Linked DNA regions of Arabidopsis thaliana. The protein of the gene in region 1 interacts with the protein of each later gene in a pairwise test. Each region holds a gene or a part of one and is shown in the gene's direction. Other genes may lie near its edges. The genes, in order: eIFiso4G2, SPL11, AT3G08530 and LSP1.

What was found.
Region 2: the proteins of eIFiso4G2 (region 1) and SPL11 interact in a two-hybrid assay, tested with the Arabidopsis thaliana proteins (one large-scale study listed by BioGRID).
Region 3: the proteins of eIFiso4G2 (region 1) and AT3G08530 interact in a two-hybrid assay, tested with the Arabidopsis thaliana proteins (one large-scale study listed by BioGRID).
Region 4: the proteins of eIFiso4G2 (region 1) and LSP1 interact in a two-hybrid assay, tested with the Arabidopsis thaliana proteins (one large-scale study listed by BioGRID).

What each region holds. Positions count from the first base shown.
Region 1 is NC_003071.7:10,221,943-10,230,440, reverse strand, and holds eIFiso4G2 (MIF4G domain-containing protein / MA3 domain-containing protein), read left to right. Parts: upstream 1-1,742; 5' UTR 1,743-1,984; coding exon 1,985-2,131; intron 2,132-2,338; coding exon 2,339-2,398; intron 2,399-2,475; coding exon 2,476-2,577; intron 2,578-2,664; coding exon 2,665-2,796; intron 2,797-2,877; coding exon 2,878-2,975; intron 2,976-3,068; coding exon 3,069-3,156; intron 3,157-3,233; coding exon 3,234-3,827; intron 3,828-3,918; coding exon 3,919-4,941; 3' UTR 4,942-5,216; downstream 5,217-8,498. Other genes in the region: AT2G24060 (Translation initiation factor 3 protein), read right to left, coding at 18-70, 435-494, 581-620, 702-988; AT2G24040 (Low temperature and salt responsive protein family), read right to left, coding at 5,910-6,047, 6,324-6,413; AT2G24030 (zinc ion binding / nucleic acid binding protein), read left to right, coding at 8,431-8,498.
Region 2 is NC_003070.9:9,497,774-9,505,978, forward strand, and holds SPL11 (squamosa promoter-like 11), read left to right. Parts: upstream 1-3,120; 5' UTR 3,121-4,365; coding exon 4,366-5,027; intron 5,028-5,187; coding exon 5,188-5,309; intron 5,310-5,441; coding exon 5,442-5,693; intron 5,694-5,796; coding exon 5,797-5,942; 3' UTR 5,943-6,250; downstream 6,251-8,205. Other genes in the region: LCR (Galactose oxidase/kelch repeat superfamily protein), read left to right, coding at 1-84; AT1G27350 (Ribosome associated membrane protein RAMP4), read right to left, coding at 546-592, 855-1,011, 1,528-1,530; SPL10 (squamosa promoter binding protein-like 10), read right to left, coding at 7,681-7,835, 7,945-8,193. UniProt on the Arabidopsis thaliana protein: Trans-acting factor that binds specifically to the consensus nucleotide sequence 5'-TNCGTACAA-3'.
Region 3 is NC_003074.8:2,590,767-2,598,366, reverse strand, and holds the start of AT3G08530 (Clathrin, heavy chain), read left to right. Parts: upstream 1-2,712; 5' UTR 2,713-2,955; coding exon 2,956-3,000; intron 3,001-3,352; coding exon 3,353-3,557; intron 3,558-3,663; coding exon 3,664-3,752; intron 3,753-3,869; coding exon 3,870-3,948; intron 3,949-4,023; coding exon 4,024-4,151; intron 4,152-4,253; coding exon 4,254-4,352; intron 4,353-4,432; coding exon 4,433-4,541; intron 4,542-4,648; coding exon 4,649-4,728; intron 4,729-4,811; coding exon 4,812-5,039; intron 5,040-5,125; coding exon 5,126-5,191; intron 5,192-5,318; coding exon 5,319-5,435; intron 5,436-5,528; coding exon 5,529-5,726; intron 5,727-5,809; coding exon 5,810-5,926; intron 5,927-6,022; coding exon 6,023-6,082; intron 6,083-6,274; coding exon 6,275-6,361; intron 6,362-6,486; coding exon 6,487-6,570; intron 6,571-6,658; coding exon 6,659-6,793; intron 6,794-6,881; coding exon 6,882-6,944; intron 6,945-7,024; coding exon 7,025-7,129; intron 7,130-7,197; and 3 more. Other genes in the region: KOB1 (elongation defective 1 protein / ELD1 protein), read right to left, coding at 1-127, 228-272, 393-527, 617-725, 884-936, 1,074-1,223, 1,468-1,854.
Region 4 is NC_003076.8:13,821,142-13,828,333, reverse strand, and holds LSP1 (Eukaryotic initiation factor 4E protein), read left to right. Parts: upstream 1-1,930; 5' UTR 1,931-2,002; coding exon 2,003-2,193; intron 2,194-2,353; coding exon 2,354-2,528; intron 2,529-2,626; coding exon 2,627-2,758; coding exon of another isoform or gene 2,759-2,764; exon of another isoform or gene 2,765-3,200; coding exon 3,201-3,266; intron 3,267-3,355; coding exon 3,356-3,388; 3' UTR 3,389-3,493; exon of another isoform or gene 3,494-3,713; intron 3,714-3,740; 3' UTR 3,741-3,910; downstream 3,911-7,192. UniProt on the Arabidopsis thaliana protein: Recognizes and binds the 7-methylguanosine-containing mRNA cap during an early step in the initiation of protein synthesis and facilitates ribosome binding by inducing the unwinding of the mRNAs secondary structures.

The sequences.
Region 1 (8,498 bases):
CATATTTAGATACTCACCTGTAGTCCATCATTTTAACAACCGGAGGATCTGCATCAGGCGATAGTATAACCTGAAAACCAACACAATCAATCATTTATAGTTGGTTGGTTTAGTTACACTAGAGACTCGGTGTAGCTAAATTAATTTATGAAGTTCTGATTTGCTTAGTAAAGAGAATTTTATATATAACAATGTACATTCTCTTCTTCTTGAAGAAGAGAATAACATAAATCATTCACAACTCTTATCCAAATTCTGTTAATCTAATACGGTATCAGAGCATATCTTCTAATATTTGCTTTGATTCTAGTTCAATCTTCCATCTATTAGCTCAATTTCACTGATTCGAGTTCTGACTCATATCATACAAAAACCATTGCATATATCAAATAGCTAATGTCCACAAGTAAGAGCATTTCAATGGAAACACATACCAGATCAAGTTCAGCATCATCAGCCATTCGAACGGCTTCGTCTTTAGACACTAAACCAAGCTATAGAGAGCAAAACAAACTGGAAATTTATGAGTCCTATTATGCAGAATCAAAGCTACAATTCGAAGAATTTGAGTCACATTTACCATGTTTTGTTGCCCATCGATAAGCCTAACAGTAGCTGACCTACTCAAACATAGACATCATCATCAACAAATCGAATCAGAAAGAAATTTTCAATTCACGATTAGGCTTAAGAATCCTCACCTAATTGAGGAGATATCAAGAGCTTCATCAATTTCAGCTTCTTTCGGCCTACCTCTTCTATTGTCTCCAGAGAATCGATAACCTCCACCACCACCGCCGAAGCGGCAAGTGACGGCGAAAGCACGGCGAGGAGAAGGAGTGAGATTAGTGAAAGACAGTTCGGTTTTGGAGAGACGAAGACTACAGAGTTTGGAATCAACAGAGAAGAGTGAATGTGATGATACTGTTTTGGTTATTCCGGTGAAGACGGCGTTGAATCCAACGGTGCTGCTGGTAATCCCAGCCATGGCGCTTCTTCTTCACTCAGAGGTTTCAAACCATCACGAAGCTCTTATCCAGAAGAATAAAACGCAACGGAGAATGAAACTACGTCGTTTCCAATGTTTGGAAGCTAAACGTCAATGTTTTTATTAATGGGCTTATGGGCTTTAAAACAAAGGGCCCAATTACTTTTTAGTTTTTAGGATTTTTATTTTAACATCTAAACTAAAACCAGCATAATCACATTGAACATGGGAGAAATTTGAGGAATATCATGTTCCTAATTTTAAAGGGAGTAAAATAAAGTTATAATTTGCAAAGGAATCTATGCATATAAAGTTATTTTTTTATTTTTTAAGAAATTATAATCTAATAAACCAACTATATTTATTATTATACATATGTATATTTGTCAAATTTACTTAAAAATTCATAATTTTAGGAAACAAAAATAAATAACTTATAGATAGAGGTAATCTTTGAATTAACTAACTTAACTCATGCAAGAGCCATGCCAACAACACTTTTAATGATGCAACAAAGATTTTTATTTTTATAGTGATGCAATAAATACAAAATAATTATGTCTTCATTTCATAAGATTTTCCATCAATTATTTTTCCCAAAAATTAATTATTTTGTGTTGGAGATTATAGACAGAGGATACTTTGGTAATTAATTCTGTGAAAGTAGACTTGTATTTTGATAATGATGCATTAAAAACAATATTAAGTCTTTATTTCGTAAGATTTTTCCATCAATTCTTTTTCAATAAATAAAATTATTTTGATATACAGAATATTTTCGTAATTAACAATAACATTTACACGTGAGAAGAAGAAAAGGAAATTAGGGCAAACCACAGAACACAGCTTCAGCCAAAAAAAAAAAGGGAATCGAAGTGATTTTATCTTCTCCACCGTCAATACAGACACATATATATACACTATATACCTCTATCTATCTGCAAAACTTTTTTTTATTGAATCCTTCTAATTGCGAAAAAACAAGAGAATCGAGTAATGCAACAACAAGGTGAACCATCGGTTTTGAGTTTGAGACCCGGCGGTGGCGGCGGCAAAAGCAGGCTTTTCGTCCCTCGCTTTAGCTCCTCTTCCTCTTTTGATCTTACCAATGGCGGCTCCGAAGAAACCCCTTTTCCCGTCAAGGTAAATACATTGAAAAATCCTCTGTTTCTCTTCAATTTGGTTTCGCAATTCGAGTTTAAACGAGGATTGGATTCGTTTCCATGATTTTGAATCGAATTTTGTACAAAGTTTGAATTTTTAGGGTTGTTGAATTTGAATATGGACAAAGATTGATACTTTATGTTATGTAATTGAATCCTAAGCTCTTGACATTTTATGTTTTTGTAGAGAGAAAATTCTGGTGAACGTGTGAGGTTTTCCCGAGAAGAGATACTTCAGCACAGAGAGGTATTTAACTTAATTCTCTGATTCTGTTTTTGACTTTGTGAACCAAATCATTCACCTTTGTGTTTTCTTGATCGCAGTCTGTTCAAGTCTCTGATGAAATTCTTAGACGCTGTAAGGAAATCGCAGTTGAGCTTTTTGGCGAAGAGCAGAGTTGGGGGAATCATGCAGCCGAGAGTAAAGTAAGTGTGTGTCTGTGTGTGTGTGTGTAATCCTCCTGTTTTGGAATCTGTCTTTTAAACTTTCATTCTTGGTTTTGGTCTTATTAGATAACAAATCATACTCAGCATCGTCATACCGAGACTGATAACCGTGACTGGCATAGTCGTTCTCAGATTCCAACCTCTGGTAAAGAATGGTTAAGGGACGACCCTCGTGAAGCCAAAAGTACATGGCAAGGGGTAAGTTTTCGTCACTTGTTATGTGTTGGCATATCATTACTAGTTTTCTCTTCTTGCTAACATGATCATCTTGTGAAACAGTCTGGTCCTACCCCTGTGCTGATTAAAGCGGAGGTTCCGTGGTCAGCTAAAAGAGGAGCTCTTTCAGATAAAGATCGAGTCGTTAAGAGCGTGAAAGGGTATTGTCAACAACTAATACTATTCTTTTCAGCTTTTGTGTTTGAAGGTTGATGTGATGTATATTCTGACTGATTCTTTACAATTTTATGCAGTATTCTAAACAAGCTTACTCCGGAGAAGTACGAGCTTCTTAAAGGTCAATTGATTGACGCTGGCATCACTTCCGCAGATATCCTAAAGGTTTGTTTCAATTCCTGATCTCTATTGTTGTAGTTCTCTCTTTCATGGTATTGATTTGCTCTTACCTTTGATTGCAGGAAGTGATACAGCTAATTTTTGAGAATGCTATACTGCAGCCCACATTCTGCGAGATGTATGCTCTTCTGTGTTTTGATATTAACGGACAGCTACCTTCGTTTCCCTCTGAGGAACCCGGTGGGAAAGAAATAACCTTTAAAAGAGTGCTTTTGAATAATTGCCAAGAGGCATTTGAAGGTGCTGGCAAATTGAAGGAAGAGATCAGACAGATGACTAATCCAGACCAAGAAATGGAAAGAATGGATAAGGAGAAAATGGCAAAGCTCCGGACACTTGGAAATATCCGTCTGATTGGTGAACTTCTCAAGCAAAAGATGGTGCCTGAGAAGATAGTTCATCATATTGTTCAGGAGCTTTTAGGAGACGATACTAAAGCTTGCCCAGCAGAGGGAGATGTTGAAGCTCTCTGCCAATTTTTTATAACCATTGGGAAGCAACTTGATGACAGCCCACGATCTCGAGGTATTAATGACACGTACTTTGGTCGGTTGAAGGAGCTAGCAAGGCACCCTCAGCTAGAGCTGCGTCTCAGATTTATGGTCCAAAACGTTGTTGATCTTCGAGCTAATAAATGGGTACCAAGGCGTGAGGAGGTAAGATTTTATCATTCCATCTCAAATCTTTTAATAACAGTCTTTAGTTCTTTATCCGTGCTTACGTGTTGTTGTACTTATTCAATGGCAGGTGAAAGCGAAGAAAATCAATGAAATCCATTCTGAGGCAGAGAGAAATCTTGGGATGCGTCCGGGTGCAATGGCAAGTATGAGAAACAACAACAACAACCGCGCTGCGGTTTCTGGTGCAGCAGACGGTATGGGCTTGGGAAATATCCTTGGCCGTCCTGGTACTGGAGGAATGATGCCCGGCATGCCGGGAACTAGGGTGATGCCTATGGATGAAGACGGCTGGGAAATGGCACGGACCCGGTCCATGCCCAGAGGCAATAGACAAACAGTGCAGCAGCCGCGTTTTCAGCCACCTCCTGCTATCAACAAGTCACTCTCAGTCAACTCAAGGCTTCTTCCTCAGGGTAGCGGAGGTCTCCTCAATGGTGGTGGTAGGCCAAGCCCTCTTTTGCAAGGTAACGGTTCTAGCTCAGCTCCTCAAGCCTCTAAACCCATTCCAACTGTTGAGAAGCCGCAACCACGGTCTCAACCTCAGCCACAGCCACAGGCAGCTCCTCTGGCTAATAGCCTGAACGCAGGAGAGCTCGAGAGAAAAACCAAGTCGCTTCTTGAAGAGTATTTCAGTATTCGTTTAGTGGATGAGGCATTGCAATGCGTTGAGGAACTAAAATCTCCATCTTACCACCCGGAGCTCGTCAAGGAAACAATCTCGCTCGGTCTAGAGAAAAACCCACCATTGGTTGAACCAATTGCCAAACTCTTGAAACATCTGATCTCTAAGAATGTGCTGACATCTAAAGACTTAGGGGCAGGTTGTTTGCTCTACGGTTCCATGTTGGATGACATTGGAATCGATCTGCCAAAAGCACCAAACAGCTTCGGAGAGTTCTTAGGGGAGTTGGTCTCAGCTAAAGTCTTGGATTTCGAGCTGGTGAGAGATGTTCTGAAGAAGATGGAAGATGAGTGGTTCAGAAAAACCGTACTCAATGCAGTGATAAAGAGTGTTCGCGAGTGTCCATCGGGACAGTCTGTATTGGATTCGCAGGCGGTTGAAGTTGAGGCATGCCAGAGTTTGCTCTAAAAGTAAATTGGTTTGGCCGGCAAAGTCTTAAAATGTTTACTTGAGGAGTAGTCTGAATCATTTTTCTTATATAAGTTTTGAGTTAATATCACATACTTGGAAGATTTGGTTCAGTTTTGTTACATCTTTGTTTTTTTCGTTCATCTTGAGTTTTGAACATTTCAGGGTGAGGAGAAAAAAAAACACAATTTGTTGATTGTTATCTTATTCTTAGTGCCTACACAATTTTTGTCTTTGACATTAATAATCTAATTAATTGTGGGATGCCTTAATTCAATTTCAATCATCGTTGAAACTCACTCAGGGTAATGGTAAGTATGGTACTACCATTATATAAATATAGTATGTATTAGGACTAGGGTAACATATAACAATGAAGATTTGATTGTATTCCTCACTGTTGGAATTCTCTTCAATATCGAATGGACTAGGGTAAATATAGTAATCACTGTCACTATCTTCATCAAAAGACTCCACAACTTCTTCTTTCTTCTTTCCTGGAAACAACTTAGCAAAGCAAAACAGGAAAGAAGAGAAAAGAAGTGTGAAGTCTTCAAGTGATGCAATAGCTAACAATGGTTTTAAACTTTTCTTCCTGTTTTTGGTATTGTCGTCTTAGTCATCTTGAATTCAGAATCACTGTCAGTCTCTGTTTCTTCACCAAGTGTCTTTGTCTTCTTCACTGTTCAGAGAAAAAACAGTGTTTTCTTTTTCCTCTTCCACTTCAGTGACTGCTGAGCTAATTTCTTTAGCTGTATCATAGCGCGATAGATACTGACCTTTAATATGAGGGCTCCATAGGCAAATAGTAATTGGGCATTATGCATTCATCATTCATCAAAGTATATAGTAAAATAAACCACAATACCTGTGTCTTAAAAAAAAATGGTATTATTATCTCCAGGATACAAGTAAATTACACTTTAAAGTACAATATGTGTGCTCAAGAGCAAGAATCAATCAAGAGGTCAAGCAACATAGTAGATTGGGCGTCTGTATTCATCAAAATACTCATCGCGGTGCAAGAAACAAATTGCGTAAATTGCGTATATTATTCCTGGTAAGTAGCCTAAGCAAGTCAGTATCAAACAAATGAAGAACTCAACCTACAAGTTAAACCAAAAAAACATGAGTTAGGAAAAACAAAATTTAAAAATTTTATTTTTTAGTCCCTTAATTAGTGTTTCTTTTTAACAAAAACACCACAATTATATTTTCAGTAATTGATCTCCACATTCATCATATTGATTGGTTCCCGTAAACCGGAGTGCAACCAATTTCAATTTAAATAACCGTAATCAATTCAATTTCAACTACGGTTTCGATTTCTGAAATAAGAAGCTGTGAAAGTTCAGAGATCGATAGAGAGAGATGAAACTTACAGTGCAACAGCCATGCCTGAGACAAACTCCGACAGGAGGAAGAAGAATTGCGATGAAGATCTCGCAGCAAAGCTCGCAACTACTCGCCATTAATTTACGGAGATTAGATCAGATTTGATGACTTGAAAAAGAGAAGAAGAGAGAAGCTTCACGAAACAAACAACCACAAATATAGTAGGTGTTGTGTCCAGCGACGTGAATCTTAATAATTAAGATACAGAGTGTACCGCGAGATCTTTAACCGTTTATTTTGCGGGATTTATTATATCCTACGGTTCGTTGTTGATATCTTTTTGGGTATTGACGTATGACGTCTGTTTATTGGTTGACTCACGGGAGCTTTGGTATGGCTTCACTTACCATACTCTTTCATTATTTAATCTCATTCCAGCTGATAAATGATATTACTAGATGAGCTACATTGCATTATCTTGGATTATAATTGTGCCAAGAAAAATTTGAAATTTTTTTAGTTGTAAATACAGTTAAGATTATTAAGATATCATTAAATTTAACACATGCACAATTTAGTCATTTTGATATTAAATACATCGATGTGAATGTAAATTAACAAATACAAAAGAAAAACAAACAAAGTTACATCAAGATAGGGAATCCATATGAAGAACCAAATATATAAACAAACAACAGCCGGAAGCATCCTCTAGATTACAATATTTGGATGCATAATCGAGATGCACCATTCAAATAATAAAACGAATAACACCCTAGTTGTTCGAATATGAAAAGACATACTACACTTTTTAAAGAATATAGGACACTCCAATCATTATTAACTGAGTTTAAAATGAAAATATGTCATTGTTATGATGCGAGTTAAGCGGCTTGAACTAATCGCTAGAACTTATTATATATTTCTTCTGTTGCATGAAGTTTGATGTTGTAGGTTTTTTTTCACAAAAAATTGATGGTTTGTATAACATTATTATTACTTTTAGCTGTGATTAATAGAGAAAACAGAGAAATAGAATTAATATTATTAAACAAGACAAAATAATAATCAAAAAGTATAAAAAATACCTTTTTTAATTTGTGTAAAAAACCTACAATACCAAACTTATGAAACAGAGAGAATACTACTTTTTTCGGGACGCCAATGATTTTGCCGCTTAGCTTAATAGTAATCATATGTGAGAATTTTAATCGGTGATATATTGGTAGGCAGAAAATCATCTCCATAAATTAAAGATAATTGTTCAACCACCTAAAATACATTAACCTAAATTTTAAAAATCGTTTGAAATTCTCACTTCACAAGTCAAATCCCTAGTAAGTTAGTAATCTTATATAGACAAATCGAAAGTTGAACACGATTTTAAAATTTGGTTGAATGTTTCAAAGTATAGAATTTTTGTAAGATTTTGTTTTAAGAATCTGTTTGAATTTGAATAATGCGGGTCAAACCTCTACAAAGTTACAAAAAGATAAAGATTGAACAAAGTTTTTGAATTTGATTAAAGCCCTTGAAAGATTAAAAAAAATATTAGCATAATTACCATCTACAATACATTGACTAAAATTTAAAACTTGTTTTTGGTTCCACATAAACCAAATCCCTAGTAAATTAGTAACTTTACATAGAGAAATCCGCCAAAAATTGAACACGCATATAATGTAATAATTGTAATCTCTTAAAATATTAAAACTCCCTTTAACATAATTTTTTTAATCTAAAATACATTTATTTTAAATTTTTGTTTGAAACGCCACTACACAAATCAAATCCCTAATAAATTTGTAATTTTATATAGAAAAATCCGTCAAAGATTGATCACATAATGTAATTTAAAATTTTCAATAAAACAAGTTTTTAAGGAAAATAGAAATATATTTAAATCTTATCACAGGTCAAATCTCTAATAAATTAGTAACCAAATTTGCTAAGTATTGCATATGATTAAATTCCATATTGTTTTTAAAAAATCTCTTGATATTATCACAAGATTCACAACAGTGAAAGAAAAAAGGGAAAAAACAGAAAAAAAAAAGCTATCCCTGTTATTTAAGAAAAGTGACCGACCAGAAGGTAAAAGCGATTACAAACGATAACCCTCTTTCTCCGCTCTCTCTCCAAATTTTGAATTCGATGGAATTCAGATACAGAGCCATCGATAATAATCGCCCACCTCCTGCGACGGACACGACACCATCTCC
Region 2 (8,205 bases), on another chromosome or scaffold:
GGCTGCACCGTTCCTCGTGGGAGGAAAAGACTTTGGATCGCTTGCGGAACAGCGTTTCATCCCTCCCCTACAGCTAGGGCTTGATCATCTTTTCTCCTGGTACAATTTCCTTGGCCAGCTTTGAGGTTGTATTCGAACGGTTCACACACGGTTGGTTTCTTTTTGTTGTTTTATTTCGGTTTTGATTTTCGAGACTGTAATATACAAAACGTTCTGTATTGTAATAAATAACTTTGGGTTGTGTGGAACCTCTTAAACCTGTGAGCAAAGTTTCATAAAAAGTACACAAGTCCAGAAGGAACTATTTAACACTTTTTGTATTTGACGGACCAAGTGAACAGAAGCATAACAACAACAGCATCTAACTTGAAGAACATACTTAAGCGTTGGATACTTGGATTATAAAAAACTCAAATAATCTTCATTACATGATATAGTAAACAGAAAGTTGACACATTCTACAGTATAAGGAGAGAAAAAGAAAGGAGACAGAAGAAGATTCTACATTTTGAAAACTGCTTCTTCTAGCTTGACTGTGTTTTGGTTTATGCCATGCCTCCGCTAGTTGCAGTCCTAATGATCTGAAAGAGAGCTGTAACAAATCATGTAGAAGGTTAACAAATATAGTAACATACGCATACACAAAGTATAATCAAATGATTCAGATTCCAGACTATGCTCGTTACTGGAGTTATATATCATGGGACAAAGAAGAAATTGTAGAACTAACATCAATGTCCAAATCAAGAAGCGTGAAGCCTAACTTTAAGAAGCTATTTGGTGCCCTCAACATAGAGTAGTAAGTTCTGAGCAAGTAAAGCTAGGCATTGGAATAAGAAGAAGAGGTTACTCACATGATCCAATGACAACAAAGACAAAGAAGCCAAGAAGGATGGGACCAACGGGATAATCCTTGCCCTTCTTGGTGGTGGTCTCAGGAACAAATCCTCTCTTTAAAATGTTTTTGTCGAATTTCTCAATCTTCCTGTCTGCTAGTCTTTTTGAGGTTGTCTGCAACAATTTTTAAAATCAACCCCATTCAGTAATAAGAAGCATCATTATACATCTGCCTCTGCGCATTAGTAATGGTTATTTCCAGATCATGCAGCATATTACTAAAATCAGAATCTCTCTTCATTCAACAAAGCATCCAATTTGGGTACCAATTCATGTATTTGTGCAAATTAGCAGAGAAATTGGGCTAAGATCAGGTAAAATTCGGCCATGCATCGGAATCATAAGAACAATAGACACAATGCAGATAAGAACTCAGCTAATCTGTTCAAATTTCGAAAACAGATCCATCTTTTCCAACTAATCAATAGATTAAAATTTTCAATTTGGCATAACGTAAAGCTAATCCGACTCAAAATTCAAAATCATTGATAATACCACACATATTGACTCAGATCGGAGCTGCAAAGCATATCTTAAGCCAATCAAACATGAATTCAGATCCTCATTATGCAATCGACAAAACAAAACCATATTAAGTGTTATAGGCAAAGATCGAGATCGCATTCATACCATGATTACGCCGGAGAAGAAACACCAGGAAAGCTAATTAGAAATTGAAATGACGATCGCGAGCAGAAAATCAATTTCACCTCTCTCTTTTTTTTTTGGTTTTTTTTCTTAAGTTTTTGTCTCCTTGATTTCAATATATCTCTCTTTTTTACATCTGTGTTTCACCACCTAAAAAGAGATTCAGTCTTGCTATTCTCACAACGTACATCGTCACAGACCATCTATGATTGGGTATTGAGACGTGTGATATCTACGTGGCCGTCTATAATTGGGTCGTTATTTGAGATTTTAAGAGCTTGAGAAGGCTCGAGAATTGAGACTCGTCGGACAAAAAAACAGACGTGTCATGTCAACTACTGAAAATCTAGCGGACGTGTTTGAAAGTCAAAGCACGAACCTCTTTGGGGTCAGTATTTCCAAAACAACCATTTTAGATTTCTAATTTTCTACTAGTAGTAGTAACCTATAAACTTATAGAGAGCTTGGTTTTACGGACTGTTTTTCCTAGACCGTTCATGAACATTGTGTTCTTTGGTGGATAGATTTTGATTGGATATGAATACATGATCCGTGTTTTTAGTGAGAGTTTAAGGATTCGATTATTCGAAGCAGGCTCATAGAGTGTGGCATCTCAAACGATGCACGGTCTTCCACAAAAACGCACATATATGGTCTTGAAGACTCATAATATTCGGATTGATAATAGTTTTTCTTGAATATGATTGTTTTGGTGGATATGAAGAGGAATCTCAGAACATTGGATTTTCTTGGTGATGATATGATAATGGTATAGTTGGAAATACATATTTACTTCGTTTTGTAAAATGACAAAGCAAAATGTGTAAAAATCTCGTCCAACTGTAAAAACCCCATGACTATATTTTAGTATCACTTTCTCTTGACATCATCACAGCAAACAAGACTCACGTAATTCCACAAAAGCTAAAATTTGTGTCTATCAAAGAGCCATGTGTACTAAAAGTACAAATGAATGGAATGTACTATGTGTTATGTACTATGTACTAACGGTATATCGACCAAACTCATAATTTCATGTTTAGTAATGCTTTTAATTTAATTTAAAATATATAGTTCCCCTAAACTAATCTTAGTCAGTTCATCGTACGTCTAATAAATTTTCATTTAATTGTGATGTTCTCGGGGATGGACACTCTAAAATATTAGTATTAGTGTACTTGTGAAAGTAAAAGAGAGGTTTATAGATATTAAAACTTGCACGAATTGTACTAGGTATGAATGGTAGGTACTAGGTTCTCTAACAAATGAAAAGAGTTGCAGCCTTTTTGAATTAATGTTTTGAACATACAAATTCGATTTTTCAGCGGCTTTTTACATGTTTAATTAGCGACCGATAAGAATATGAAGAAAGATCCAACAATATAAATTTGACCTTTCTTACTTATAATGTTGTTACTTGCATTTTTTGTTTGTTTTACATCTAATTTTAGAGAGCCTAAAATTAGTTACAACTTACAAATATTTCATCATTTTGTTGTCCATATGATTGTACCTACATATTAGGCCTGAAATAAATAACCAATTTCGATATAGAATCGAATCTGTGTTGGTAAAAATATAATTCGTTTCATATACTAGTATTAGTTAAAAATTAGACACCAAAATAAATACGAAAGCCCAAAAAACAAAAAAAGGCAAAACAGTTGAAGAAAAATAGTGGGAAAGACTCCTCTGAGCTACTCTCATTCGATTTTCCTCAGGCGATTTTGGTGTATGGTCGTCCCTTTCACTGTATTTCTTAGTCAATAGCATCTTCTCCGATCATCGACGTCCGGAGATTTCTTCGGCCCTCTCATACTTGAGGTTTTGTACTCTTTACTCCCTCAAATTTTTCCAAAACTTGCGCTTCTTAGATTTGGGCGTCTTCGTTATTTATTGTAAAATTCAGCTTTATGCCTCTTAGACTAGTTATAGATCGACGAATCAGTAAAATTACCTTCAAGGTGAATGGTCTCTAGGTATAGAGAATTTGTCAAAATGACGAATTTGATTGAAACATTGGTAACTTTTTTTAATCTCTTCGTTAGTTAGTTGAACTTATTGGTTTGGGGGGACCATTTGCTTTCATCGAAAACCCTAGCTTGCGAGGGAGGGACCTTGATTGGGATCGTAACCTAACTTACTGTCACTTTTTTTATCGTTCAATCTTTATTGCTGCAGATAGGTCCACTAATGGCTGAGCTTGCTGCCGTTTTCTTTGACATATAGTTAATTCAATGTGTAAAGTTGTAAGCTTTTTAGTCTTTGGTTTTGAGGAAGTTAGTTAGGAACCTTCTCCAAGTACAAAGGAGGAATGGGTAGGGAAGGGTTTGCAATTACAATGTGTACATCGTGTTTCTTGACAAGTTACTGATAGATACTTTGGGGAAATTTTTGATTTGAGGAGTGTAGGACCAATTCAATAAATGCCACTTAGTTTTTGTGTGATGGAGATGAGAAGATGAAAAGTAATACCCTTCCTCTCTTGCCCTTTTTGCTGGTCTGGGTGAAACATAGAAAAGTTTCTCTTGCTCAAGTTAATGATAAAAGGGTGAGAGCAATAAACGCTGATAAGCCTTGTCTGGTCCTTGGAATTTTGAATTTTCTTTTTCTATCTTACTTATAGTATTGGTAGTTGAGGGTGTCGTCGATAAGGTATCTATTTGCCTAGCCAGAGTTATATATAGGATTGATTGTCTAGTCTTTTCTTATATGATTTTTGTTCTCATTTACTAATCAAAGTTCTGCAAACTTGTAGTTGTTGTAGGATTTGTTGCTCTGGCTCTGGTGGTAGGTCTATGAAATCAACCCATATCGTGAATGGACTGCAACATGGTATCTTCGTCCCAGTGGGATTGGGAGCATTTGATCATGTCCAATCCGTCAAGGACTGAAGATGACAGCAAACAGCTACCTACTGAGTGGGAAATTGAAAAAGGTGAAGGAATTGAATCTATAGTTCCACATTTCTCAGGCCTTGAGAGAGTCAGTAGTGGCTCTGCCACCAGCTTCTGGCACACTGCTGTATCGAAAAGCTCACAGTCGACCTCTATCAACTCATCATCTCCCGAAGCCAAACGATGCAAGCTTGCATCAGAAAGTTCCCCTGGAGATTCTTGCAGCAACATAGACTTTGTCCAGGTGAAGGCTCCCACAGCTCTCGAGGTATCCGTTGCCTCAGCTGAATCAGATCTTTGTTTAAAACTAGGAAAGCGGACATACTCTGAAGAATACTGGGGTAGAAACAATAATGAAATTTCAGCGGTTTCTATGAAGTTGTTAACTCCATCTGTTGTCGCTGGGAAATCCAAATTGTGTGGTCAGAGCATGCCAGTCCCGCGTTGCCAAATTGATGGCTGTGAACTGGATCTCTCATCTGCTAAGGGTTATCATCGTAAGCACAAAGTCTGCGAAAAGCATTCAAAGTGCCCAAAAGTTAGCGTGAGTGGCCTGGAACGTCGGTTCTGCCAACAGTGTAGCAGGTAAAACCGGTGGTTATGTTCTGGCCTCAATAATTCTTAAGTTGCATTCTCTTTAGATTTTACTGTAGAGTGCCCATTCAGTTTGATTGTGTCAAATCAACTTTTACATGCTCCTATTTATATTATACGGTAGAGAGTTGATCATGATTCTAATATTCAGGTTCCATGCTGTCTCTGAATTTGATGAGAAGAAACGAAGCTGCCGAAAACGTCTTTCTCATCATAATGCGAGGCGTCGTAAGCCACAAGGAGTATTTTCAATGAATCCCGAGAGGGTGTATGGTATGAACCTATACTGCAACTTGATGTAATCAATATTTCCTCAGGACTTTCCATCAGTCTCTACCACACGCACTCACACATACACACACAATTCATTCATGGAAATCTAATGTAACGTGTTTACTCCTGCAGATCGAAGACAGCATACAAATATGTTGTGGAATGGGGTGTCCCTTAACGCGAGATCTGAAGAAATGTATGAATGGGGTAATAACACTTATGATACAAAGCCTAGACAAACGGAAAAAAGCTTTACTCTGAGCTTCCAGAGAGGTAATGGCTCTGAGGACCAGCTGGTTGCTAGTAGCAGCCGTATGTTCTCTACATCTCAAACCTCAGGTGGGTTCCCAGCAGGAAAGTCCAAGTTTCAACTTCATGGCGAAGGTTGGTATATGCACTTCTTCACTAGTCCTTTAATATGTGGAGGGAGTAAATATCTGTTGATTTGATCTCTAGTCCTTAAACAATTGGTTAAATCTTTTGGCAGATGTGGGAGAATACTCAGGAGTCCTCCATGAATCTCAAGATATCCACCGTGCTCTCTCTCTTCTGTCAACCTCTTCGGATCCCCTGGCCCAACCACATGTGCAGCCATTTTCTCTACTCTGTTCATATGATGTTGTACCAAAATAGATGAGTAAGTAATGTGTAATTTGTAAACCTGTTACTCAGTTGGTGGATACTTTTCCAAACCTATGATAAAAACCTCGTCCTAGATCCCGTTAAATGCCAAACTTTCGGCTACTATAACTATGTTATCGTTATCATTATCATTGTTTAACACCCTAGTAACAAAGTCATTGTCAACAAAACTCTATAAACAGTAAATATATCTATATACCTCGGATAGGCTCTTCAATGTATCTCTCTGTATTGATAGCAAATCAAGGAGAAGCTGTAAGAGTAGGTAAATCTTTTCAACTAAGAAAGAGTTCCACTCTTTTTATGAACGTTAGCAACAGATGAAAATCAACAGAGTTTTAAGGATTTCTAAGGGTCATTATCAAAATCAGGCGCTTTGTAATTTTAGCATAAAAATCTATACAAAATCAGTGTTGTATCAACTTGGTATCAGAGTAGTTACTGTCTGATGGGTTAGGCTGCAGTAGAAGATAAGAGACATCACAGAAAAGAAAAAAACAATGAGAAGTGGGAAGAGAATAGAAGCCAAATTGAAAAGAGACACCAATTAATGATTGTGAAAGGCTTTTGAAGGAAAGAGACACCCATTCCATGATTGTTGAAAGATCAAAGAGTAAAAAGAAATAGAAAGTTGAAAGATGACAAGTTTTGGAGGTTTTAAGTACAAACCTATAGAGGGGACCAAATTACATATCAATTTCATATGGAGAGAGACTCCAAACGACAAAGCCTGATGAGTATGAAGGGGTGTAAATTAATAGAAAGAACCATGTGTCTATGGGATTGATGTTGAAGTCAAATAGAAAAAGAAGACAAGGATTGAAATTAATGTATCTTGTCACCATGTGGTCTGTGAGAAATTGTTGTCGCTTGCTATAGCAGTTATGAGGAACTTCTTGACAAAATGGAGGAGACAAAAGGCTAGGAACCAATACAAGAACATGCACAGTACAAAAATCAAGCAGAGATCATTTCTTAGTCAGATTTTATTTCTCAGACTTGAACTCCTCCAATATTGTGGGAAGCACCTTAAGGAGTGAAGTAGGAAAGAGCATGCTATAAAAGTGCCTACCAAGTGTTTCATAAGAGGAGGTGTCCTTGCAAGATTTTCTTAGTTGGTGAAACTTCCACAAAAGTGCTCATCGAGTGTATGTTGGTTCTCCATTCATTTTAACGGTTTTGTGTATTCCTCCTTCTGACTTTCCAAGTTTTGGGAATTCAACTTATTATTCAACTGCACTAACCAAACCCTGGAGCTCAATAGTGACACTCTTCCTTCTTGAGGAAGTAGAATGAATCTTTTTCCCCCAAACACCAGAAGAGAATGTTCATGTTTGCTGAAATGGTTGCCTCTAATACCACAAATCAAACTTTTTTCAGATTTTGTGCCTTTTAAAAAGCAGAAGTTGTCTTTCATAATTCTCACTTTCACTATGCAAAGAAGTTAAAAATAATATCAAAAACTTACAACATCAATAATCTCTGAAATGGTTTTAAAATAGTCGTAGACATGTTTGACAGAGTAACAAAGTTGTCATACCAACAGAATCCAGAAGGAAATTGACAATATGTTTGGAAATGTATAAGAAAAGCTGAGCTAACCGAGTGACTGGTTTAGCTTGAGCAATGGATGTTGCACATTTTTATTTTATTTGAAAACAAACTGTCAAACTCCATCGGATGATGCAACCCGACTTTTTATGGAGTGACTTCGCATTTTTTAACTCTTTCAGATGAAATGACTAGGGAAAGTGCCAAATATTGGCGGTGGTTCGGCCACGGGAGTGTGTTTGATCCCTTGTGAATCCGAAGTAGTTGACAGAAGAGAGAGAGCACTGTAGAAATCATGAGATTCATGGAGGCCTCCTGAGCATTCTCCCACACCTGCCAAAACATATTACTCAGTTTCAAAACCAGAGATCTAAAAAAGGCCAATCCATCAGCAAATATGCACAACAAATACAAGATGTGGTAAAGAAGTGAAGATATCAACCTTTGTCTGGAAGTTGAATGTTGGATTTCCCTGCTGAGAACCCACCAGATGTTTGAAACGCAGAGAAAGAGAGGGTGCTACCAGTAAACAGTTGGTCCTCAGAGCCATTACCTCTCTGGAAGCTCAGAGTAAAGCCGCTTTCCATCTGTGTAGGCTTTGTCTCATAAGTGGTACCCCATGTATACTTTTCTTCAGATCTCGTGTTAAGGGACAACCCATTCCACAACATACTTGTATGCTGTCTTCGATCTGTAAAAGCAA
Region 3 (7,600 bases), on another chromosome or scaffold:
CCCGAGCAACTGATTTGCCGTTACCATAAGTCAAAAAGTAATTTGGATTATTTCGTGTTGCTTCTTTGTACATTCCAAAATATGTATCTTTTGGAAGATGATCATAATTCTTCTTGAACATTGACACCTGCTTGCACCACACATATCTCAGAAGTAATACTAACATAACAAACAAATATTAATAAACCTACTCTCTTACGTAAAGACAGTAATAAACTGAATTATACCTCTGTAAAAGGATCCTTGATATCATCTCTTTCTACGCTGCTTTCCTAAACAACAAAATCCAAAAGCATTATTCATAGCAAAGGCCAGATCATAAAAGAAACTTTAGACTCACAAAACTAGCTGAAAATAAGCAATGCAAGAAGTGTGAATGAGATATCACTCACGTAATTTGGAAATATAACCATATCCACATTTGGAGGAACATCAAGCAGCAACCGTCTTAGTGAGTACTCACGAGCACCTGCTGGGTATATCAGCTCATCAGTGTCAAGATGAAGTATCCAATCCATGCCCGCATCCTGATATTTAGTAAGAACAAGAAAAATGAGAATGTAACATGAGACATGAGTCAAAACTGAACCAAATAAGGTCTAAAAGAAATACTTACCCTAGCCATGACAATAGCCATTTCCATGTTGAGAGATTGTTTGACAAATAACTCATAATTGCAGGGCTTATAAAAGAAAGACGAAAGCCAGGTCTCATTCCAAATCCGGCTGATGAAACAAAACAAAAAAGAATGACAGTAAAATGATCAGTAGTAGAAAATACAACAAAACAATGCTACAATTTCAGAATATACAACAAAACATGTGTTTAGTGCCTTGAAGAGCTATAGCTTTGTCGCAAATATGCAATGGGATAACTAACTAACCTCTTCGCTTGCTTCTCCTCAAGCTCTTTCGTCCTGTATATTACTTTAACACCCTGCAAGAGACATGGGACTACATTTATCGAAAACTGCATACCTTAAATACAAATTTATACCTACAGGACTAAAGAGCTAGAGATATACAGCCAAAACAAAATAAACAGTGGACGCGAAGAGAGGTAGTTCAACTCACAGGAATAGACTCGAGCACTTTAGAAATACTCGGAGTAGCAGCTTTCCCTTCAACGAAAAGGAAGAATGTTGAGACGCCTAGAACCTTATGGTAGAACATCCATGGTAGAATCTGATCCAATCCAGCTGATGTGCTAGTCGTGATACATATCTGTAAACAGTAACAATGTCAAGAATCATATACAACATGGAGCACAAAAAGTGAGGTGACTTTACAAAGACAGATCTGATCAAAAAATGAACTTTGGTATTTCTCAAATCTCTATAATCCAATAAAAAAAGAACAACTTGATATTTCAGATTAGACATTGTAGTAAGATTTAAGAAAAAAAAAAGGAATTTGGAAGTGTAGATCGATCCAAAGACTTGAAATCAGGGGAATTGAAAGTAGTAACCTTAGGCTTTAAGCTAGTATCAACACCAAACTTCCAATCAGCATAGTAAGGAAAAGAAGGAGAAGAGCTGCGAGCTAGATTTGAGCAGTCGGAGGAGGATTGGTGAGACTTTGGGGAGACAGATGAAACAGTCTCCATGCCGGGAAAGACCTCGTGATTGAGATCGGAGCCGCCAGGAACCGACGTAGAGGAACGAACAGAAGCAGAGGCAGGATCGGCGAGACCACCGCCTCGCCATTGGAGGATAAAGGCGAGACAAGCAAGGGAAACTGGAAGTAGAGTAAGGAGAAGGAGGAGCCTAGAGACGAATGAATGGTTTTGGGAAGAAGATGAAGATGAGGAAGAAGCAGATATTAGTGGAGCTCTGTGATGGTGAGTCGATTTCATGGTTAGCTCCACCACTTTGAAAAACAAAAAAAAGTTTCGGAGGAAGAAGACGAAGAAGAAGAAGAAAGACGCGATTCTGAGATCTTTCTTTTTATTTTATTTTCGTGTTTTGGTCGTCTGAGATCTCATCGGTAAAATTAAACTTTACTAACTAAATCTAATTGATTATCAATTCATCTCATTTTATTATGTATAAAAATTGGGAGATTTTCTTCCATTTTTTTTCTTAATCTTTCTCAACTGGATTTGAATTGATAGATTGGAAACATGTACCAACACAAAGAACAGAAGCAATTACACAGGGAGAAACAAATCTCCACACACTAAGCCACTATAAGCTAATAACAACAATAACCTATACAAAACAACAGAGCCATATAACAAAAAAAAAACCAATTCAACCAGGGGAAATGACTCTTTCATCACAGAAAACTGAATGGAACCAAGACGGATGACTTGATGCAACATACAATTGCAACCTGCAATCATCAGTGATACTCTATGACATAATATTCCTTCTTCTTTTGGATCAGATTAATTAAGTTTTGTTTCTAATTATTAAGTCATGACACTTCTTCCATTCTTAATTATTAAGTTTTTTTTTTCTTGTATCAAATCTTTAATTATTAAGTTTTTTAAAAAAAATTATTAAAAGTCATGACACTTCTTCCATTCTTAATTATTAAGTTTTTTTCTTGGATCAAATCTTAATTATTAAGTCATTTATTGTTGTTTCACCTAAGGTACCTTCATTTAAAAGCACCAATTAAAATATTTCACGTGTCGTCTCATTAGAAATTCGGATGCTTAGAGCCCAGTAAGGACCGATATGGGCCGGACCTGGTTATAAATGTAAGACTCTAATTGGATCGCTGTTCGTCATTACTTACCCATATATATTTGTTATTCTTCTTTTCTCAATTTTCTTTCTCTTTCCATCACCTTTCTCGTTCACTTGCTTCAGATCTGGCAGCGATTTCATTTCTTCTCCAGTCTTTCTCTCGTCTCGGTTCTATCTCCTGGCCATTGGCGGTCAGGACTTCTCAGCCGTATATTTGATTCCGTCCCCGGATTTACTCTTGCTGTGATCTGAGGTCAAACATGGCGGCTGCCAACGCCCCCATCACGATGAAGGAGGTCCTGACGGTGAGTTCTCCTTACTCTTCACTCTTATCTTTGAATATTTAGATGTGTATCTCCTGGAATCGACCGTGATTTTCTACGATTAAGCTCTGTTCAGTCTCTTGATTGATTGATTCCAGTTTCCTACTGATCTGAATTCTGCTCGATCGTTGTGTTACTCTCTAGTTTTTCCGGATCGCTTGTTTGGGAATGCATGTTTCTGATCAGATTTCTCTAACTATGCTCAGATCTGTGTTTCGTTAATATATCAATGCCGAATTTCAAGTTGTTGTCTGTAGCAATGTGCTTATGTACTCGGATCTCATAACTAAATAAATGAACTATTTGACGTAACGCTTCATCTTGATTTTTCCAGCTTCCGAGCATCGGGATCAATCAGCAATTCATCACGTTTACAAATGTTACTATGGAGTCTGACAAGTATATCTGTGTACGAGAGACGTCACCGCAAAACAGTGTTGTAATTATAGATATGAATATGCCGATGCAGCCTCTTAGGAGGCCTATTACTGCAGACTCTGCTCTTATGAACCCAAACTCGAAGATCCTTGCCTTGAAAGGTACTTGATTTTTTCCTTTGATCTAAAACCCATAACGGTTTCCTCGAATTCGTAGTTCATAATCCACTTATCTTGATGTTCACTTTTTACTTCAATATTTATGTAGCTCAAGTTCCAGGAACTACTCAGGATCATCTACAGATATTTAACATTGAAGCCAAAGCAAAGTTGAAATCACATCAGATGCCTGAGCAGGTGAGTGTTGATGCAAATATATTTGAACTCCATTATCGTTCCTGCTATACACTTCGTATAACTCTGAATTTTTCAGTCGGGTTTTTTTTTGGATAATAATGTTTCATGTTTTTACAGGTTGTCTTTTGGAAGTGGATTACACCAAAGATGTTGGGGCTGGTCACACAGAATTCCGTCTATCATTGGTCAATTGAAGGTTGTATATTTCAGCCTACTGTCATTTTCTTCATATCTTGTGTTTTCGTTTCTAATTTTCCTTCGGGTTTTATAGGTGATTCTGAGCCAGTTAAGATGTTTGATAGAACAGCCAATTTGGCCAACAATCAAATTATAAACTATAAGTGCTCTCCTAATGAGAAGTGGTTGGTTTTAATTGGAATTGCTCCTGGCTCTCCTGAGGTAAGTTTACTGCGCCACATATTAGGTCAAAAAAAGACATCAAAACTGCTTTCATGTTGTAGATTCTTGACTGATCTTGTCATTATTATCTGTTTTCTGTAGAGACAACAATTGGTAAAAGGAAATATGCAGCTTTTCTCTGTGGATCAACAGCGGAGTCAGGCCCTTGAGGCACATGCTGCATCGTTTGCGCAGTTTAAGGTAACGTCTTTGTTCTTTGGTGAGTTCATCTATGGTCTAATCTTGAACTGTAGTTTGACTTGCAACACTATTAATATTAGGTTCCTGGGAATGAGAATCCTTCTATTCTTATATCATTTGCAAGCAAGAGCTTTAATGCTGGGCAGATAACATCAAAGTTGCATGTCATTGAGCTTGGTGCCCAACCTGGTTAGCTCCCCGACGCAAAACTATATCTTCACTGTTATTTAATATAATTGGTTACGTTTTCTAGGTTGTATTCATCTGATCTTTAAAGGTTGGCGATTTTTTTGCAGGAAAACCATCATTTACAAAAAAACAAGCAGATCTCTTTTTTCCCCCTGATTTTGCTGATGATTTTCCTGTTGCCATGCAGGTTTGCTATTGCATTAGAATTTCAGTTATATGTGTAAGTAGTTAGTGACAATTTCTGGCACTAATTTCTCATTTTCCTGACAGGTCTCTCACAAATTTAACTTGATATATGTTATCACCAAACTTGGCCTGTTGTTTGTGTACGATCTAGAGACTGCTTCTGCTATCTACAGAAATCGGATTAGTCCAGACCCAATTTTCTTGACTTCTGAAGCTTCCTCAGTTGGGGGTTTCTATGCCATTAATAGGCGAGGACAAGTTCTTTTGGCTACAGTAAACGAGGCTACCATTATACCTTTTATTAGTGGCCAAGTATGCTAATCTTTTATGCTATTTTCCCGTTATAACCTACCCTTTTCATCATGTCATGCTAAGAAATCTATGCTTTTGTATCACAGTTGAACAATTTGGAGCTTGCTGTCAATCTTGCTAAAAGAGGAAACCTCCCAGGTGCAGAAAATCTGGTATGCGATGTTTATCATGGATCTGTTGTCTCGGTGAAGTAATTATATAGTTGTTAAATGGCAGCTTGAAGAAAAAAAATGTCATTTGGTATTGTGAAGTTTCTCATATTCTGCTCGGATGTTGTAGGTTGTCCAGCGGTTCCAGGAGTTGTTCGCTCAAACAAAGTACAAGGAGGCTGCTGAGCTTGCTGCTGAATCTCCTCAAGGAATTCTAAGGACACCTGATACAGTGGCCAAATTCCAGGTGTCTATTTCATATCCAAGCAACTATGTGTAAACATGTTTATTTATGATGAAATGTTGGTAACACCAATTTTTCAACTCTATAATTTTGCAGAGTGTTCCTGTACAAGCTGGACAAACTCCTCCATTGTTACAGTATTTTGGGACTCTTTTGACTAGAGGGAAACTCAATTCATATGAGTCACTGGAACTATCTCGGCTGGTTGTGAACCAAAACAAGAAGAACCTCCTGGAAAACTGGTTGGCAGAGGATAAACTAGAATGCAGTGAAGAACTTGGAGACCTTGTGAAGGTAATCTTGAAATGGACGATTTTATTCAAAATGTGTGATATGTCTCCTATGGTGTGTTGTGACGATAAACCTTTCTGTTCCAGACTGTGGATAATGATCTCGCTCTGAAAATATACATCAAAGCTCGGGCGACTCCAAAAGTTGTAGCAGCTTTTGCAGAAAGAAGGGAGTTTGACAAAATACTGATTTACTCAAAGCAGGTAAGCAATAAGATCTATAGTATAACCTCTTCTATTATTTTTACCCTAAAGTTCTGTTGTCTCATGAATTACCATTGTTTCATATTGTGACTTCAGGTTGGGTACACACCTGATTACCTGTTTCTTCTGCAAACCATACTCCGTACAGATCCTCAGGTTAGTGTGGTGCACTCTTGATACTTGCAACATACTAAACTATGAAAGGACTTTACTGAATATATGTGGCGTAAGCACTGGAAGAGTTATGAATCAACTAACTTGTTGAATAATTTGACCTGATGTTATATAGAATGAAGAATCTTTTTCCCACCGTATTAATATCAATAGTCTTTTAATTTTTATTTGCAGGGAGCAGTAAATTTTGCATTAATGATGTCTCAAATGGAAGGAGGTTCTCCAGTTGACTACAACACCATCACTGATCTTTTTCTTCAGGTAGGTCAATATATTCTGTATGCACCAATATTTGTAGCTCATTACTTGTTCTACTCCTATATACAGAATTGTATACAGTAGATGTAAATTATCATGTGCTTATTTGTCTATTTGTGCATATTCAGAGAAATCTGATCCGTGAAGCGACTTCTTTCCTTCTGGATGTGCTAAAGCCAAATTTACCTGAGCATGCTTTTCTGCAAACTAAGGTTGAAAATAGTTGCCACCTTGTATCTCTCCGTTTTTTTCTCTACTCACCTTCTTTCCCCAGACTGTTTAAATCATTTTTCAACACAGGTTCTGGAGATAAATTTGGTAACTTTTCCTAATGTGGCTGATGCGGTATTAGCAAATGGGATGTTCACCCACTATGACCGGCCTCGCATTGCTCAACTTTGTGAAAAGGCTGGACTTTATATCCAATCCTTGAAGGTTGGTACATGTTTTTTACCATTTTTACCGGCCAAATAGATTTATCATCTTCTCACCTTCCAACTTCTTTTCCTTTTGATTTGTGCAGCATTACTCAGAGTTACCTGATATAAAACGTGTAATTGTAAACACACATGCTATCGAGCCACAGGTAGTGCCTCTGAAATATATTTTGGTTGTTAAACCTACTAAGTGGTCAAGTTGTTGCATAACACTCTGCTCCATATGCAGGCTCTTGTTGAGTTTTTTGGCACTCTTTCTAGCGAGTGGGCTATGGAGTGCATGAAGGATCTGTTGCTGGTCAACCTGAGAGGCAATCTGCAGATAATTGTTCAGGCAAGTGGTGTATGATATGATGAATCTTATTGGTTATTTTGACACTAACGGTGTCCATACAATTTCAGGCTTGCAAGGAGTACTGTGAGCAACTTGGTGTTGATGCATGTATTAAGCTCTTTGAGCAGTTCAAGTCATATGAAGGGCTATACTTTTTCCTAGGTTCATATTTGAGTATGAGGTGATATAGATAAAATCTGATCTCGTTTCTGTAAACAAGCACGATTCTTGTATTTATATGCTTATGTTTACAATGTTTCTCTCTGTGCGATAGTGAGGATCCTGAGATCCATTTCAAGTACATTGAAGCAGCTGCCAAGACTGGTCAAATAAAGGAGGTTGAGCGTGTAACTAGAGAGTCTAACTTCTATGATGCTGAAAAGACGAAGAACTTTTTGATGGAAGCTAAGCTGCCTGATGCACGACCTTTGATAAATGTCTGTGATCGTTTCAGCTTTGTGCCTGATCTTA
Region 4 (7,192 bases), on another chromosome or scaffold:
CTTACCAAAAGAGAATTGGAAAAGAAAAGCAGTGTTAATGTTATGGTGGTTCGGCCCAAAATTGACATACATTAAGCATTTCATATTGAGCCAATTATCAAATTAGAAGAATGTAGATGTCTTATCTTTTACTTATGAGCAAATTAAAGCTATTAAGTTTTTACTTCTTTTTTTTGTTAAAATGATGGTGGTCTTGACACAAGCACTAGCAAATAAAAAATTGCTTTAACTCCACCCTTTTTTGTTGTCAACCATGCTAAACAAACTGATTTGAATTGAGTCTCAAAAAAAAAAATAGAAGGTTTATCACTAAAAGTAACATAGTTTTATTATTATAGAGAAATACACTAAAATAGCATTAAGCTAAGTTTTTGTTCCAAAAAACCATAAATAGTTTTTTTTTCTTTCCAAAATGCCTCTACAAACGATTTAGTACAAAAATACCACAAAGTCTAAAAATGATTTCTAAAGATTTTAAACCTTCAAAACTAAATCCTAAACCCTAAAATTTAAACACAAAATATTAAATGCAGACCCAAAGTTTAAATTATAGGTGAATTTTAGTTTTGTGGGATTTTCAAAAAAAGTATCTTTTACTGGTACTGTTACGAAAAAAACTGATGGTGTTACTTTTGGAACAAAAAACTTATCTTAGTGGTATTTTTGAGAATTGTCTATTATTATATCTTATTATATAAAGTATGGTTTTCGATTTTAGATTTTGACACATGTAATCTTATTATCAATTTTATTAAATGAGTAAAAATATAAATATAAAAACCAAAGTAAAATATTAATATATCTTATATAAAACAATTTTAAAAAATTGAAAGAAGATAAATATTAGAAAATTATATGTATCTTATCAAACAAAGATAGAAAATATAAGATTACATATTATTTTAAAGAAATAAAAATGTAAAGAAGATAATTATATGTATCTTACTGAAAGAAATTATAAATCAATTACTAATTCTAATTTGAAATTACTAATTCTAAAAGAAAATTGATTACCGTCTTCCTAAAAATTTTAAAAAGGATTTAAGGAAACGATCTTATTATATTAAATATAATACATAAAGGAATTTTACAATTAATTATAATCTTAGAAGGAAAAAGATTTCAAATACTCACCTCTATATAATTAGTAGCCGGATTTTATGCGGTAACTGATACAGAATGTACAGTTTTTGCCACTTCTTCTCGTCTTAAGAGAGAACGACGGCGATCAAACAAACGTCGCCGAAGTTTAGGCGGCGAGTGAGAGTATATGAGTTTATCAAGCAGAGATTTGTAAGTTTTCTTGTTTTTGGGGGAAAAAGATTAGGAATTATAATAACTTTATTTTTTTAATTTATATTTGGAACTATAATATAAAAATCTTATTTACATTTTTAAAACTATTTTGTTTCTTTAATTTATCTTATTTTATATTAAAAATTTTAAAATTTATAATAAAATTACATGTACCAAAATCTAAGATCTACAAAAATAACACATGTAACAGTCATATGAATTACTAAATTTAAAAATCATGCTTTATATAATAAAATATCTTTTATTACTCTAGAACCTCTAATGTAAACAATATTTTCTAATTTGATACTACTAATTAAGATTTTGCATTGACAATATGAAAGAAATTCCGCTATTTGGAAATTAGATCTCATACCTTGGTGTATTTTTTTTTATTTTTTTTTTAACAACACCTTGTTGTAAAAAAAAATACTTTAAACCCTTGTCTATTGGGATTCCACTTGCAATTAATTTTGGAGATTTTTATTTTTACTTGTTTTTTAAATACCAAAAGACAATAGAAAAAGAAAAAAGAAGAAAAGAAGAGTTAAATGCTCTGATGGACCGGCCCAAAATTGACCCAATAGAGTCCAGAAATAGCCCTTTTCACTTCTTAAACCATTCCAAAATACATCTCAAAAACAATCTCTCTGTCCCTCTCTCGTAACCAAAAGCCGTCTCAGAAGAAAACTCAACTGCGAAGAATATGGCGACCGATGATGTGAACGAGCCTCTCCCGGCGGCGGCGGAATTACCGGCGACAGAGGCGGAGAAACAACCACACAAGCTCGAAAGAAAGTGGAGTTTCTGGTTCGATAACCAATCAAAGAAAGGCGCCGCCTGGGGAGCTTCTCTTCGTAAAGCCTATACTTTCGACACCGTCGAAGATTTTTGGGGGTTCGTCTTTCTCTCTTCTCCTTTGATTTCAATATTTGTCAATGCCTTGCTTTGTAACTTCTAAATCTGGGATTTGTATAGAAGCTATGGTTATTGTGAATCTCGATCTATGTGTATGGATCCGAAAATCTAAGGATGTTAATTTTTTGGTTATTGTTAGATTGCACGAGACTATATTTCAGACTAGCAAATTGACAGCGAATGCTGAAATTCACTTGTTCAAAGCTGGTGTTGAGCCAAAGTGGGAAGATCCAGAGTGTGCTAATGGAGGAAAGTGGACTTGGGTTGTTACTGCTAATAGGAAGGAAGCTTTAGACAAAGGCTGGCTTGAAACTGTATTACATTCTAACCCTAACCCTAACCTTTTACTCTTCTGTGTTTTGTTAGATGATATGTGGTTTTGGTGACTGGTTCTATTTCTTATGATATGTAGTTGATGGCTTTGATTGGAGAGCAATTTGATGAAGCAGATGAGATTTGTGGTGTGGTTGCTAGTGTCCGTCCACAGTCGAAGCAAGACAAGCTCTCCTTGTGGACTAGGACGAAGTCTAATGAAGCTGTTCTGGTATGATGTTTGTTTGTCTTCTCACTATGTTTATATTGATGCTGGTGTTGGCTATTCATGATTATGATTGTTGGTGGGATATCCAAATTTAGTTTGGTAAACTTTAGAAAATACTAACACTCGTTACGAGAATTCTTAATGCTACACAGAGAACTATATAGCTAGTGGGTTTTGATGCTTAACTTGCTTTGTTGCCTGTCCTTGAGAGTTTTACCAGCTTCTGATGATTGAGATACTTCTGCAATAGTAAAATTGTTGTTTTTAATGTTAAGGTTATATGTTGCGACTTATAAACATAATAGTAAATATAATAGTTCATTGGCATTATAAACATAACTATCTTTGTCAATGGACATCTGTTTTAAAACTTGGCAATATGTTAAGATTGGTTTATGAATCTATCTGATGAATTTATTACTTGGTGTTTGTTATTGTAATTCAGATGGGTATTGGGAAGAAGTGGAAGGAGATACTTGATGTCACCGACAAGATAACTTTCAATAACCATGTAATTACACTTCTCTAAAGAAGAAGCTATCATCTTTTTGTACATGTTTTAGATCTCATGTGGCTTAATATATCTTTGTCTATACGCAGGATGATTCCAGAAGAAGCCGGTTCACTGTCTGAAGAAACGAGTGTGAAGCCAGAGGAAGATGCAATATGGCTTTTTTTGTGATACTGTTTGGTCGGTTTACTCAAATAGCTGAGACATTTAGGGACATTCACTTTGAGGTGTAAACTCTACAAAGTTTTCTGTTTCATTAAAATGATTTTTTGTTATAAATTAAGTTGAGTTATATAAATCTCTTTCGAAACCACCACTTGTTAGACAAATACAGAGATAATATACTCTTATTAGCAACACCCTAATGCTTCTCTTTTGTATTTTGTTGGATCACATAGTGTTAGTACATGTCTATCGCATTTGTAATTATCACTATATGAATTTACAATCTTACAAGATCTTATTTCTTTGTAGGTAAATTTCAAGAATCTGGTAAAAAATTGATTTAGAGCAGGATTCCACGATTTTCCTTTGTATTAATTGTTTTTGTACTGTGATTTTGAACCTTTTTAATTAATACTGTTGCAGTTAAGCAGTAGTTTAGTCTTTTATTAGTTTTATCCTCTTTTTATATAGCCGTGAGATTATGATTTCTTCTTCAGGAAGAGTCTATACCATTTTGAGTTTATCTTAAAGTTGCTTGAACAAGGAGATATGGTCGATTACAAATTGTGGATCTTCCATCTCCGATTCACAGTTTTTGGGTCCTCTAAAATGGTTCAAAAAACCTTATAACAATTCGTTTTGATTATTTAAATATTCACTTACAAGTTGCTTAAATCTATTTTAGGTTTAGGATGGACTCATATTGAAATTATAAATACAAACAATGTGTCAATTGGCTACTGAACTTTTAAAGCTTAGAGATTTTGGATTAAGGAAAAAAATTTGATTAAGATTTTTAGTATATGTTTATAAATTAATACTCGATACTAAATACATTTCTTCAATTCCAAATCGGCTACCCGAACTGATTAATATATTGTATATTTTTTTAATTAATAAACTATCATAGTCTCATTGTTATTAATTATAAAAAGATATAGCCAAATCAGGAAAGAAACCAACATGTTTAGGATTGAACAAACACGAGTCTGAAATTGGGTTTACAGTTCATTTTGTTGTTAACAAAACTATGAGATTGCAATTTACATCAATGAAAAGTTCTTAAACAAGTTTTGGAAAAACAAATTTCAGATTCATATGGTTTAATTAATCATTTTTTTCTCCAAACTGGATATTAGTGTTTTGTCTTATGTTGGAGTCGTACGGTTCTATTATTGCATTGGTAGATATGTAGTCGTTGTTTAATCTGGTAATTTTAATCAACTTCTCCAAGTCTTCAGTTATGTTCGGAAGCAAGGTCCATCCTCAAAAGAAGGCAAATATTAAAAGGATATTAGGTATCCACCAAGAAGGAGGTATGGGCACCTACTGAGGACTCCTTGCAAAGAGCTATGGACCCAAGGCATAAGTTTTTGCTTTTGTACAAGATCGTCTAAAAAACCGAATAAATACTTGGTCGTCAAAATTACTCTCTAAGGGAGGTAAAGAGGTTCTTATCAAATCAGTGGCACAAGCCTTTCCAATGTATGTAATGTCGAGTTTCCTTTTACCAAAAAACATTTGTTCCAAACTCAACAGTGAAATTTCTAACTTATGATGGAGCAACAACCAAGAGAGTAGAGGTCTCCATTGGGTTGTGTGGGACAAATTCTGCTTCCCACAATCTAAAGGAGGATTGGGCTTCAGAAGGTTAGAAGAATTTAATCTAGCCCTCCTTGCCAAACAGTTGTGGAGACTAATGAAATATCCAAACTCTCTTGTGGCGCGAGTCCTAAGAGGAATGTACTTCTGCTACTCGAGCCCCCTTCTCGTCAAGCCGTCATATCTACCCTCCTATGGTTGGCGTAATAAGCTTGCGGCTAGACCACTCCTTCTCTCAAGCTTGAGGAAAAACATTGGCTCAGGGTTCGACACCAGAGTCTGGAGTGATCCATGGATTCCAACCATACTAGAGTGCCCAATGACAAGTAAGTTGACATCAATAGATTCTAACCTATACGTTATCGCTGATAGACCCAATCATTGAGGCATGAAAGCAGGAAAAACTTCAAGAATTGATAGCTACATAAGAAATACCCCACATTCTTAGACTACATCTGAGTCATGCCTTTTTGAGAGACTCGTACATCTGGGTCCATACAAATCTGGCAATTACACTGTCAGATCCGGCTTCAAGGCAACAAAAGCTTGCCTTTGAGGAGATTTTGCCTCCCTTTTAGTAACCCAATGTTAAGGCACTACATGAACATTCATGGACGATCCAATCCTTTAGAAAAATTAAACACTTTCTTTGGCAAACTGCCACGAGATGTCTAGCTACCTGCCAACAACTTTTTGATAGCCACTTAGGAACAAATAAGGTGCGCCCTCACTGTGAATGTGTGATGAGACCATAAACCATGTGCTTTTTGATAGCCACTTAGGAACAAATAAGGTCTTCCTTGCACCCTCGATTTACACAATTTAGATTACCTCTTCTGGAGAACGAAAGAACTCGGCGGAAGCGAAGAAAGTATAAAATACTTTCCTTGGATTATATGGTTTATTTGAAAAGCATGCAATTCCAAAGTCTTTGGGAACATAGAAGTCCACCATGCAGACACCATTCAGCTTGCAAGCTAAGAGGCGAAATCTTTACGAGTGGCAAGAAGCCGGGAAAAGATTATTGATTCGCTACCACCTACCCAAGACTTAGTCGCTCGTTCCCCTATCAGAGATTGCTTGACATGCCAGGTACATGGGTCATGAGTAAACACAACCTCCTTATGTGGTTTAGGATGGATTGTTGGTTTTGATCATCATTTCTCTAATCTTGGCTTAAAGTGCATTCACCATTGTTTATCTCTCCTTCACATAGAGTTTGAAGCTCTTCTCTTGGCAATGTGTTCCCTCATGTCATCATCCATTCCAATGTTTCTTTTGAGATAGATTGCAAGGAGCTTATTCGGGTCTTGGACACTCCCGATGAGTGGCCCACATTTTCTTCTTCGGAGTTAGAAGATTTGAGTATGTTAAAACTTGGGTTTCCTCATTTATTCTCTATCTTTTGTTCCACGTTAAACAATGTCCGCGATGAATACTTCGCTAAAAAGGCAAGATCTCGCGATTCTATCTTTCTCATGTAAGCTTCCTCTACACCGGACTGGTTCTTACTTCTCACCTGAAGGAAACCGTCGGTTTCTAGCTTAAATGGATGATTGTATTTTGCTGTCAAAAAAGAAAGAAAGAAATAAGGTGGTTCCTTGCTAAAAAAAAGAAAAAGAAAAAAAGAAATAAGGTGGTTTAGTGATCAACCACTTTAGGGAAGGAACTTACAAAGAGACTAGATGATTTTTCAGTATAATTTTCTTTTGTTTCTAATCTGAATATATAATATATTTATTTTAAATTTCTTATTAATATGGTCAATTCTCTTTAATATTAAAAATTATATTTTATTTAATATAGAAATTATATATAATCAAAATAAACTCCTCCATCTAGAGTGCCACCTCATTACCACTTAATCAAATCTATTTTATAATTAGTTAGCTCAATATGGTCAATTTAATATTGAAAGTTCCTTTTGATTTAATTGTTGAGATTAAAATAAGAAAAATAGCCAAATATAGTCTCACTTTTAAATCAAATTACTTTTTCATTTTTAAGAAGTTTGTAAGTCAAAATTACCAGATTGTAGGCATAATAACTCCAAATTTGTTCCTAAATTATACTATAAATATCCCATCAAATCAGCATCTTATAAATATTTAGAAAAGCTACTTAATAGAAAATGTATTTTTACTATATTTAACCAAAAG